2 linked regions of the Sus scrofa genome follow. The main gene of each other region encodes a partner of the protein of the gene in region 2 in a complex. Links are inferred from orthologs where the notes say so. Each region holds a gene or a part of one and is shown on either strand. Other genes may lie near its edges. The genes, in order: MYSM1 and RBM10.

Region 1 (4,400 bases), on a different chromosome or scaffold from region 2:
TTGGAGAGGCAGGTTGGATGAAGAAAGTTTATAAGCTGAGACTGCAGAACACCCAAGGGCAGAGAGATTCAGAAAATTGTATAAATGGACCTGAAACTCAGGAGAGAGATTTGAGTTGGTGACAAATTTGGGAAACATCATTTTTGTAGGTCAAAAATGGTGGGACATTGGCAAAATTTCATACTGTCCAACCTAACAAATAAATTTAAATCCTGAGAGACAGACTGTGTGGTTAGTGAAAAGTCTTATGACAAAAATCCCTTGGAACATTAAAGGTTTTTTTGTTTGTGTGTGTTTCCCTGCATTTGTGGCATATGGAAGTTCCCAGGCCAGGGGTCAAATTTGAGCCACAGCTGCAGCATCACCAGATCCTTAACCCACTATGCCACAGAGGGAATTTCAAAACATTAAGATTTAAAGAACAAGCAGAAGAAAACAAGAATGAGAAAGAGAGGCAGGATAGGTAGAAAGGAAATCAAACCATTGCAACGCCATCTTCTAACTTTGGTAACTAGCACTTAGCGAGACCTAAACATGTTTTTAATTAATCCTCAAGGCTTCCACAAATGCTATCAGCTGTAACTACACAATTCAAGTGTTTATTCACAAGAAATTCTATGTGATTGGAGCCCTAACACCAGGGAGCAATTTTCACCAGGATATGTTACTGATGCTCCCTGAAGTTCTGTAAGGCAATGGCTCTAACCATCAGGAACCAATAACCCTATTACTGGTTACATGAGACTAAGATGATCACAGGTGCCACCAATAAAACTGAGGCTCAAGCAAAATAATAAAAAAAAAAAGAGAGAGAGAAAAAGGGATAAAAATAAAATACAATCAGAAAAATAAAGAACCTATGGAAAACGGATAGATAGAGCCAATGCTCTCAGCTGATCTTTGGTGTTTCCAAGGCCAATTCATTTCTCTCTGGGCTGCAGATAAGAATCCCTCCCACTTATTTCACAGACTTGTGAAAAGCAAATTAAATCACACATGCAAAAGCACTTGTGCAAGATTAACGAGGTCTACACAAATGTGAACAATGATTGTTAGTAAACCCTTCCTATCCATTTGTATAGCTTTGGACTATTTTGCCTAAAGATTTGAGGGAGAATGACTACATGAAGTTGGTTACTCATTTTCACAGTGCTTTAGGGTTCAGAAGAACTTTAAACCCACTATCTTAGTTCCTCATGGGCAGGGCCAGTACACTTCAAAATTTACAGAGGCCCTATCACTAGGTTCGACCACGTGAAATTGCTTTTTAATAGGTCAAAACCGTCTAAGATTGGCAAATCCACATGGTTCTAGAGACTTCGAACGTTCTTTATAGGTACAAGCAACATAGCTGAGTTTAGAACTGAGGTCTTAGAATTCCTGACCCATCTGGGCCTTTTCCATTACTAAAAGGAGATTCTGAAAGCATATTTTAAAAATGGTTGCTTTCATTCCCTGCAAGCAAGGAGTCAAAGGGCTAGATGTCTCAAGCTGAAGGTTATTGTTTAAAACCCCACTGGCCTGCTCTGCAGGTAGAGATACTAAATAAATTGTGACACCCCCCCGCCGCAGTCCTCACAATACCACCCCTAGGGATAACGGGCCGGTAAAGAACACATCTACAGAGCACCTATCCCATAATCACTTCATTTTTTCTTCACAATAATCATACGAGGTACCTAACATGATCGTCAGCCTACTCACGAACTGTCTGAGGCTCAGACAAATTAAAAGTCTGGCCCAAGGTCACACTACTAGTATCTCGCAGGACCAGCCATTACAAGAGAACCCAAAGCTGTCTAACTCTACGTCCTGCCCTTTCCTTTAAGTCACGATACCTCTCTGGAAGTTTTTCACAACTATCCTTATGTGGAAGAGAAAATCGATAGGGAGTAGGGATAAAACGACACACCCAAGGTCACAGGGCTTGCAGGCGATGGTACCAGAATCCCTACGCTCAGGTCCCATCTAGGGACAGCCCTTGTTCTCATGATTATTGGGCGGTGGCAAGGGGGCGGATTCTAGGGTGACACTAACGGAAGAAGTAATTGCTTAAGAGCCCGCAATGTGCTAGGGGCGACCGGCGCCCTCACAGCATCCAAGCAAAAGGAGAAAACGCTGTCCGCCCCAAGTCTCAGGTACTCGCCGGCTGCGCTTTGGAAGAGCCGGGCGGCGGGATGGGCGCGGCGCCGCCCAGGCCTCTGGGAGACCCCGGCCCCAGCGGATGGTCTTTCGCTCCCCTGGACCCTTCCGGAACCCCAGCCTTTCTAGGGTACCCTTCTCACATCCGCGCCCCTCCTCGTCTCTGCAAAACCCGGTCTCTATGTCTCACCCAGACTGTGCCGCCGCTGGCATGACGTCCCCTTCGACATCCACATCCGCCTCTTCTGCCGCCATGATGGGACCTGACCCCAGCCGTGCTCTCGAGAGATCCCGCGAGAGGTGGAGGGCGTGAAGGCGGGGCTGCGTGCGTCACGGGGCGGAGTTGAGGCGTCGACCGGCCCCTCCCAGGCTCAAGAAGCGGGGCTTTCGGGGAAAAGATATTAGCGTCCTGGGTCTGGATTCTTCTGACTTTTGTTGACGTGTAAAGACCTTGGCAAGTGGCCCAGGCTTGGATTTTGAAGACGTTGTGGTCTTGGATAAATTCTTTGGCGCCTCGCTTCTCTAATTTGTAAAATGGGGTTTATACTAAATACCTGGAGTGCTGAAAAGATCAAGCCAGACGGACTTTGAATGTGAAAGTGGCAACAGCGACCCTTATCTGCTGGTTTTTATTTTTTAGAATAGAATCATTCAGCACTTATAAAAATGCTGAACATCTGTTTTAATATTCAGGAAAGAGTTTAGAATATAACTTAGGATTGTGTATTTTATTTCGTAGATATCTTTACAGTTAATTAAAAAATCACTCATCACCGTTGATCTTCACAATAACCTGGTGAGGGAGTTTCCTTATGGTACAGCAGGTTAAGGGCCCGGCGTTGTCGCTGCAGAAGCTTGTGGCAAGAGTTTGACCATAGCGCAGGAATTTACGCATGCCGCTGGGTGTGGCCAAAAAAACAGAAACAAAGAAAACGCCAAAACCCAGTGAGATAAGCAGGACCAATAACATCAGTCACCCTTTGCAGATAAACTGAAGCTCAGAAAGTTGAGATGACTAATGAGAAGGATGGACAGCTAGTCAAAGACAGAACTGGGACCAAAATCCAGACCTTTTGACACTTTACTGAGTGTTTACCTGTACAAATTGTGTTGTTAGGAACTGTGAGAGACAAACACCATTTCTCTCAAAGAACTTAAGGCTTTTTAAGAAATTAAATATTACCCTTATGTATTCTTCTACCTTAGCATCTATCATTCACATTATTGTAGCTGTTAATTCATTTTTCTGCCTCCACCATCTGACTATGAATTCATTAAGGACAAAGGCTGTATCTGCTAGTCTTTGGACTAGTCCTTAAGGTATCAACATTCAACATGATGTCTGACACAGTTGGTGCTCAATAAATATTGAACTGATGAGTGAATCAATCAATTAATGGAATGAATTCACTTCCCACAATATTCTGAGTTGGCCCCAATGCACCCTTGCACTCAAGCCATAAGAGGAGCTGTAATACAACTGTGTGGCCAAAGATGGAGAGAAAGTTTTGTAAAGAGAGAGATCCAGTGCTCAGAAACTGAATAGTGCTCCATCCTTAAGTTATCCTGTTGCTAAAGGGCCTATCCTGTGACCAGTCTCAGTGGTAATTGGCATGCTTGGCACAGAGTAGGCTTTCTAAGATATTTGTTAGATGTAATTAATAGCAAGGTTAGAAAGATGGACATGGCCAGATGGTCAGAGCTGTAGAATATAGATGCCTTTCATTGATCTTTACAAAACAAGTGGGATAGGAACCCTTGTAGTACTACCTGGACACACAGGGTATCAAATGTCTCCTAGACACAAAATACCATATGAACAGTGTCTCCTATAATACAGAACTGAAGTCTTTCTGGCCCAGTATTAGGCATCAATAGGCATTAAAATATATATGGAAGGAAGGAAAGTCCTGCACAGAATTCCAATATGCCCCAAGGCCTTTAGGCATAAAGGCCTCCCTAAACAGGGAGACTAATATGAATCCTCCCCACACATGCGCCTATGCACCTGGTTTGCTGGCTTTATGTGAACGAGGCTCCTTAAGGGTATAGCTCAACCCTACCTGCAAGGAAGTGGCTATAACCCCACAGTTGAATACACTCCCGAAGCCTGGTCTACTGTTTAAATTTAACTATTTATTTAAAAATATATAGGAGGAATTCCCATCGTGGCTCAGTGGTTAACAAATCTGACTAGGAACCATGAGGTTCTGGTTTGATCCCTGGCCTTGCTCAGTGGGTTAAGGACCCAGTATTGC
Region 2 (4,470 bases):
TACCTATCTGGGTCAACCAGACTGGAAACCTGGGCATCAGCCTCCATTCCTCCCTTTCTCTTGATCCCTTCCCACCCTGTAACCAAACACGACACCAATCAAGCTGTTTTGTAATCATCTGTAACTGTGTAATATCCCCTGTGAGACCCTAAGTAAGGAGAAGGCTGCAATCCTATTTTTGTTGTTTTTATGGCCACACATCTGCAGCATATGGAGGTTCCCAGGCTAGGGAGCTATAGCTGCTGGCCTACACCACAGCCACCCCAGATCTGAGCCACATCTGCGACCTACACTGCAGCTTGGCAACGCTGGATCCTTAACCCACTGAGAGAGGCCAGGGATTCAACCCACATCCTCATGGACACTATGTTGGGTTCTTAACCTGCTGAGCCACAACAGGAACTCCAAAGGCTGCAATCTTATCTATCTCATTCACCAATGCACTCTCAGAGCCTAGCGCAAGTTCTGGCTCACAAGTGCCAAATAAACATCTGCTGAAAAGAAACCAATCATCTGCTGTGCTGTTTTTTTTTTTCCTTCCCCCTGCCCGGAAGCCCCCTCCCAGCGCTTTCCTGGGTCAGTTCGCACACAAGGACAAGCCTAGGCTGCTTGGAAGGGGTAGGAGTGGGTAACTCACCGTCTTTCATACTCCATGTCCTGATACGGCCTGCGGGGGCTGCTGGGGCCCCTCCTCAGCCGCTGGCTCCGTTTCACTTCCCAGCCACCCCCGCTGCTGCCACCATGATCTGCCAGCCTGGGCGATGCCTCCTGCAGGGACTCTAGGGAGAGGAGAAGGAAGAAAGGGGTCAAGGCAGTTGAGGCAGAGACGGGTTCCTTGAAAAAACCTTTTCAAGGCTCTCTGCTGTCCCTGAGCCCAGCGATGTTGTTTCCCAACTCGAAATACTCCTGGGGACCAGAGCAGGAAGGCAGTCCCTGTTTGGCTTGCTCCTTCCTTTCTTTCCCCACAAACGTGAAGCTAGAGCCCGCCACCCTAGACACAGCATAGCCTTCAGCAGAGGGGGAGCATCTCGCAGAGAGACCCAGTGGCGCCACCCATGCTGTCTGTGATCAGGGCTCTGCCATTGGAGACTGGTAGACAAGTTCAAGCCCAGAGCTATCTGCCCGGGCGGGCAGCAGGGGAGAGTGGGCTCTCAGTGCTGGGTGACTTGTCTCAGATCAGGCACATTAGACATCGGGGCAAGACACCACAACAGGGGTCCCAGGCACCCACCAGGCTACCATCCGCGAGCCTCCAGGGAATATTTCATCCTCCCCCAAAGACGCTGGCTGCCCACTCTGACACGGCAGGAGACCACGAAAGGCTCAGGGGGTGACGGGGCTAACTTGGCAATGACACAGCTGCCGCCTCCCTAGGCTCCTGGCCAACACAGTTTTGGCTCCGCACCGCAACTGGCTCAGCCCTGAGCCCTGTCTCTTATGCACAGCCAGGTCCCCCAAGGGGGCTCCCTCCCCAGAGCTCTGGACCCGAGTTGTTCAGAAGCAAAACGAGTCCTTTCGGAGCCTGTTCTGAACCGATGTGTTATTCCTCCGGGACGTATGGGCAGTCACTTTACCCAACCCTCAGGCTCCGGTGAGAACTAAGGAAGGCCTGAGAGCCTTGAGACCAGGCCAGGGGTCACCACAAAGTATCCCGGAATCTTTAGGCCCCACCCTCTGAACAAGACTCAGGCAAAGCCAGGTGGTAACAGCACCTGCCCCAAACTAGGTTGCCACTACACCTTTCCTCCGCGGATACACTCACACCGATTTTCTCTTCCTCCTCAAGCCACAGAGAACCAGCGCTACCCGCTCCCGGATGGCTAAGAGTTAGAATCACGACCAGGGGCTCCAGTGGATGAGAGCCGGACACAAAACCCTTTAGATCTGGCAAAGGAGCCAGGGTTATACACTGGTATCCACAACAGATAGGGAACAAACTCAACAGAGTCAAGCCCCGAATAACTAGGGGCCAAAATCACAGACAGGAATCCAGGGTAAATACAAGCCATAATCATCCACTGAGGCCCCCTTTCACAGGATGAGCGTCAGAGTAACAGATACGAAACACCCTCTTCCCCCACCCCCCACCCCCGCAAAGAAGGGACACTAAGTCTTACACACGTTCCTTGCACTTCCTCCCACCCAGTAAGTGGATTAGGGCCAGTTGTAAGAAGACTTTCTGGGATAAGGACCCCTCCCCATGGATAAGGACCAGGGTTACGGACACACGATCCGAGGATAGAGACCCCAGTCATACGTTCTCCCTCCTCCCCCACTCAAGAATAAGGACCAGAGCCACCAAACACTTCCCCGTGGATAGGTAAGTACCAAAGTCACACAGGAGAGCAGACAGCACACTTCCTATAGATAAAAACCAAAGTCGCAGACACTCGCCTCCCACGGATAAAGTTCGGCGTCGCAGACACACTAAGCCACAGTAACCCACTCCCATCCGTCCCTCCCTTCCCCCAACCCGCGTGCACCCATCCTGTGTCCCAATCGCGCACGCGCCTCTGCTCTCAAAAGGAGAAAAACAAAAAACAACAACAAAAAAAGACACCCCCTCCCGAGCACAGACCGTGTGAGCATCGGGGGTTCTGCACGAAAACCCAAACCTGCCGCCCGCAGTTCGCCCTCGCGCCTCCTCTACGCGTTCCCCCCCCCACCCCCGCCCCCGGTCCCTTACCTCCGCCCCCACGACCAGCGTCGACGCTCACCTTCTCGGCCCGGGCTGTCAAGGGAGGGCTCCCGGACATCACCTCGGCCCGCCGCCACCTCCTCCAACTCTCCCAGCTCAGCCGGAGCCGGTCCGCGCAACGACCCAGTCCGAGGCTGAATGCGGAAGGGCGGAGGACTGGGGAGGGAAGGAGCGCCCAGGCGCGCTGCCCTCCCCGGGCAACTCACTGCCGCCTACTCCCAGCCGGCCGCGATCACCAGCACAAAATGGCGACGACGAGAAGGGAGCCGGCGCTTCGACCACCATCCACCTACTAAGGGAGCGCGCTCTGGCCGGCCCCGTCTATTGGTCGCCGTCCTTCGTGGGCCAGCCCTGGCCTGCTCTGATTGGCAAGCGCATGCCACCACCCCGCTCCCCGTGCGAACGCCCGCAAGTCGAGAAAAAGAGTAGCTATTGGCCAATCCGGCGAGGCCCGCTTTTTAGAAGCTCGGCTTCCTAGGAAGATGAAAGACCAGCGGAAGCTCCGCCCCTCTCGCCAAAGGGCACGGGAACTCTCCTCGAGATTGGTTGGGGACTGCATCCACCCAAGTGTCACCGTTTTCTTCTCGTCAAGAAAATAAGCAGCCTTTTCGGCCAGAAATTCCACAGCCTGACCGAGAAGATAGGAAGCTGGTTGCTCCCGTGAGGCCATGACAGAGGGAGGGAAAGAGGACGTTTGAAAACAAAATCCCAACTCGGGACCTATTTAGTGCGGCGGGGGCGGAGCGACAATTCTCGCGCTCAGGCCCAACTGCAGCTGCGCAGAGTCACATTTCCGTCCCCGCCCCCGCGAGCCTGCAGAACGAGCTGTCATGGCGGCCGGGGTGTTAGGTTTGTGCGCTCGCCGCCTTTTAGCAGCAGCGGCGACGCGAGGGCTCCCGGCTGCCCGTGTTCGCTGGGAGTCCGGCTCCTCCAGGGCTGTGATCGCCCCGTCCGCTCTGGTGGGAAAGCGGCCGCCGGAACCGACTATACGCTTGCAGGAGGACCCAGATCCGGAGGACGAAAACCTCTATGAGAAGGTGAGAGGGAGGGGAAACGGGACGCCGCAAGGGTCAATCGGGGACCTGCGGACGGGGCGCCGTAGAGGACGTACTTAGTCGGCTGAGGATTGCGCAGCTGGCAAAATCCTCAAAGATTTGGGAGTTCTTTCTAGCTCCTTTTCCTCCTTTGTCCCCTGATAACCTTCGGTTCAGGGCCAGAGGCGAGACTGACCTTATTTTCCAGACAGATATCAAACCTGAAATGAGCAGTATACCATAACAGCAATAATATTAAACACTGATACGGTCCTTGCTCAGGTGTTCGAAACACTTTATAATATTAACTTATTTAATCCTCAAAACAGCCCTATTTCGAGGTAGGTACTATTAATATACCCATTCTGCAGATGAGGAAACTGAAGCATGAAGGTGTTAAGTGACTCCTCCAAGCTCACTTAACTGAATGTGTGGCAGAATCAGGTCTGCTGTGCTATCCTGTTAGCAGAGACTGAAATCAGAATGCCTGAGTTGGAATACAGGCCCTGATAGTTACTTACATATGTGACCTTGGGCGAGTAGCTTAACCCCTTGGTGCTTCAGTTTCTTTGAAAGATGGGGAAAGTATTAGGACACTTTCTAAAAAATAAAATATTACACCTGCCTCGTGTAATTAAATGAGTCAGAGTGCTCAGAACAGCAATTGGCACTTATTAAGTACTCACCATTAGAAGCTGTTAATTATTCTTGCCACTTTCCACCTTACCAGGATATTGT

The links.
Region 1: RBM10 (region 2) and MYSM1 share a complex: the UniProt entries of both Homo sapiens proteins name them as parts of the large chromatin remodeling complex. The link is inferred for Sus scrofa from reciprocal best matches to the Homo sapiens genes RBM10 and MYSM1.

What each region holds. Positions count from the first base shown.
Region 1 is NC_010448.4:153,754,194-153,758,593, reverse strand, and holds the start of MYSM1 (histone H2A deubiquitinase MYSM1), read right to left. Parts: upstream 2,855-4,400; 5' UTR 2,398-2,854; coding exon 2,333-2,397; intron 1-2,332. UniProt on the Homo sapiens protein: Metalloprotease with deubiquitinase activity that plays important regulator roles in hematopoietic stem cell function, blood cell production and immune response.
Region 2 is NC_010461.5:41,772,506-41,776,975, reverse strand, and holds the start of RBM10 (RNA-binding protein 10), read right to left. Parts: upstream 3,079-4,470; 5' UTR 2,757-3,078; coding exon 2,687-2,756; intron 780-2,686; coding exon 638-779; intron 1-637. Other genes in the region: NDUFB11 (NADH dehydrogenase [ubiquinone] 1 beta subcomplex subunit 11, mitochondrial), read left to right, coding at 3,529-3,735. UniProt on the Homo sapiens protein: Binds to ssRNA containing the consensus sequence 5'-AGGUAA-3'. May be involved in post-transcriptional processing, most probably in mRNA splicing. Binds to RNA homopolymers, with a preference for poly(G) and poly(U) and little for poly(A).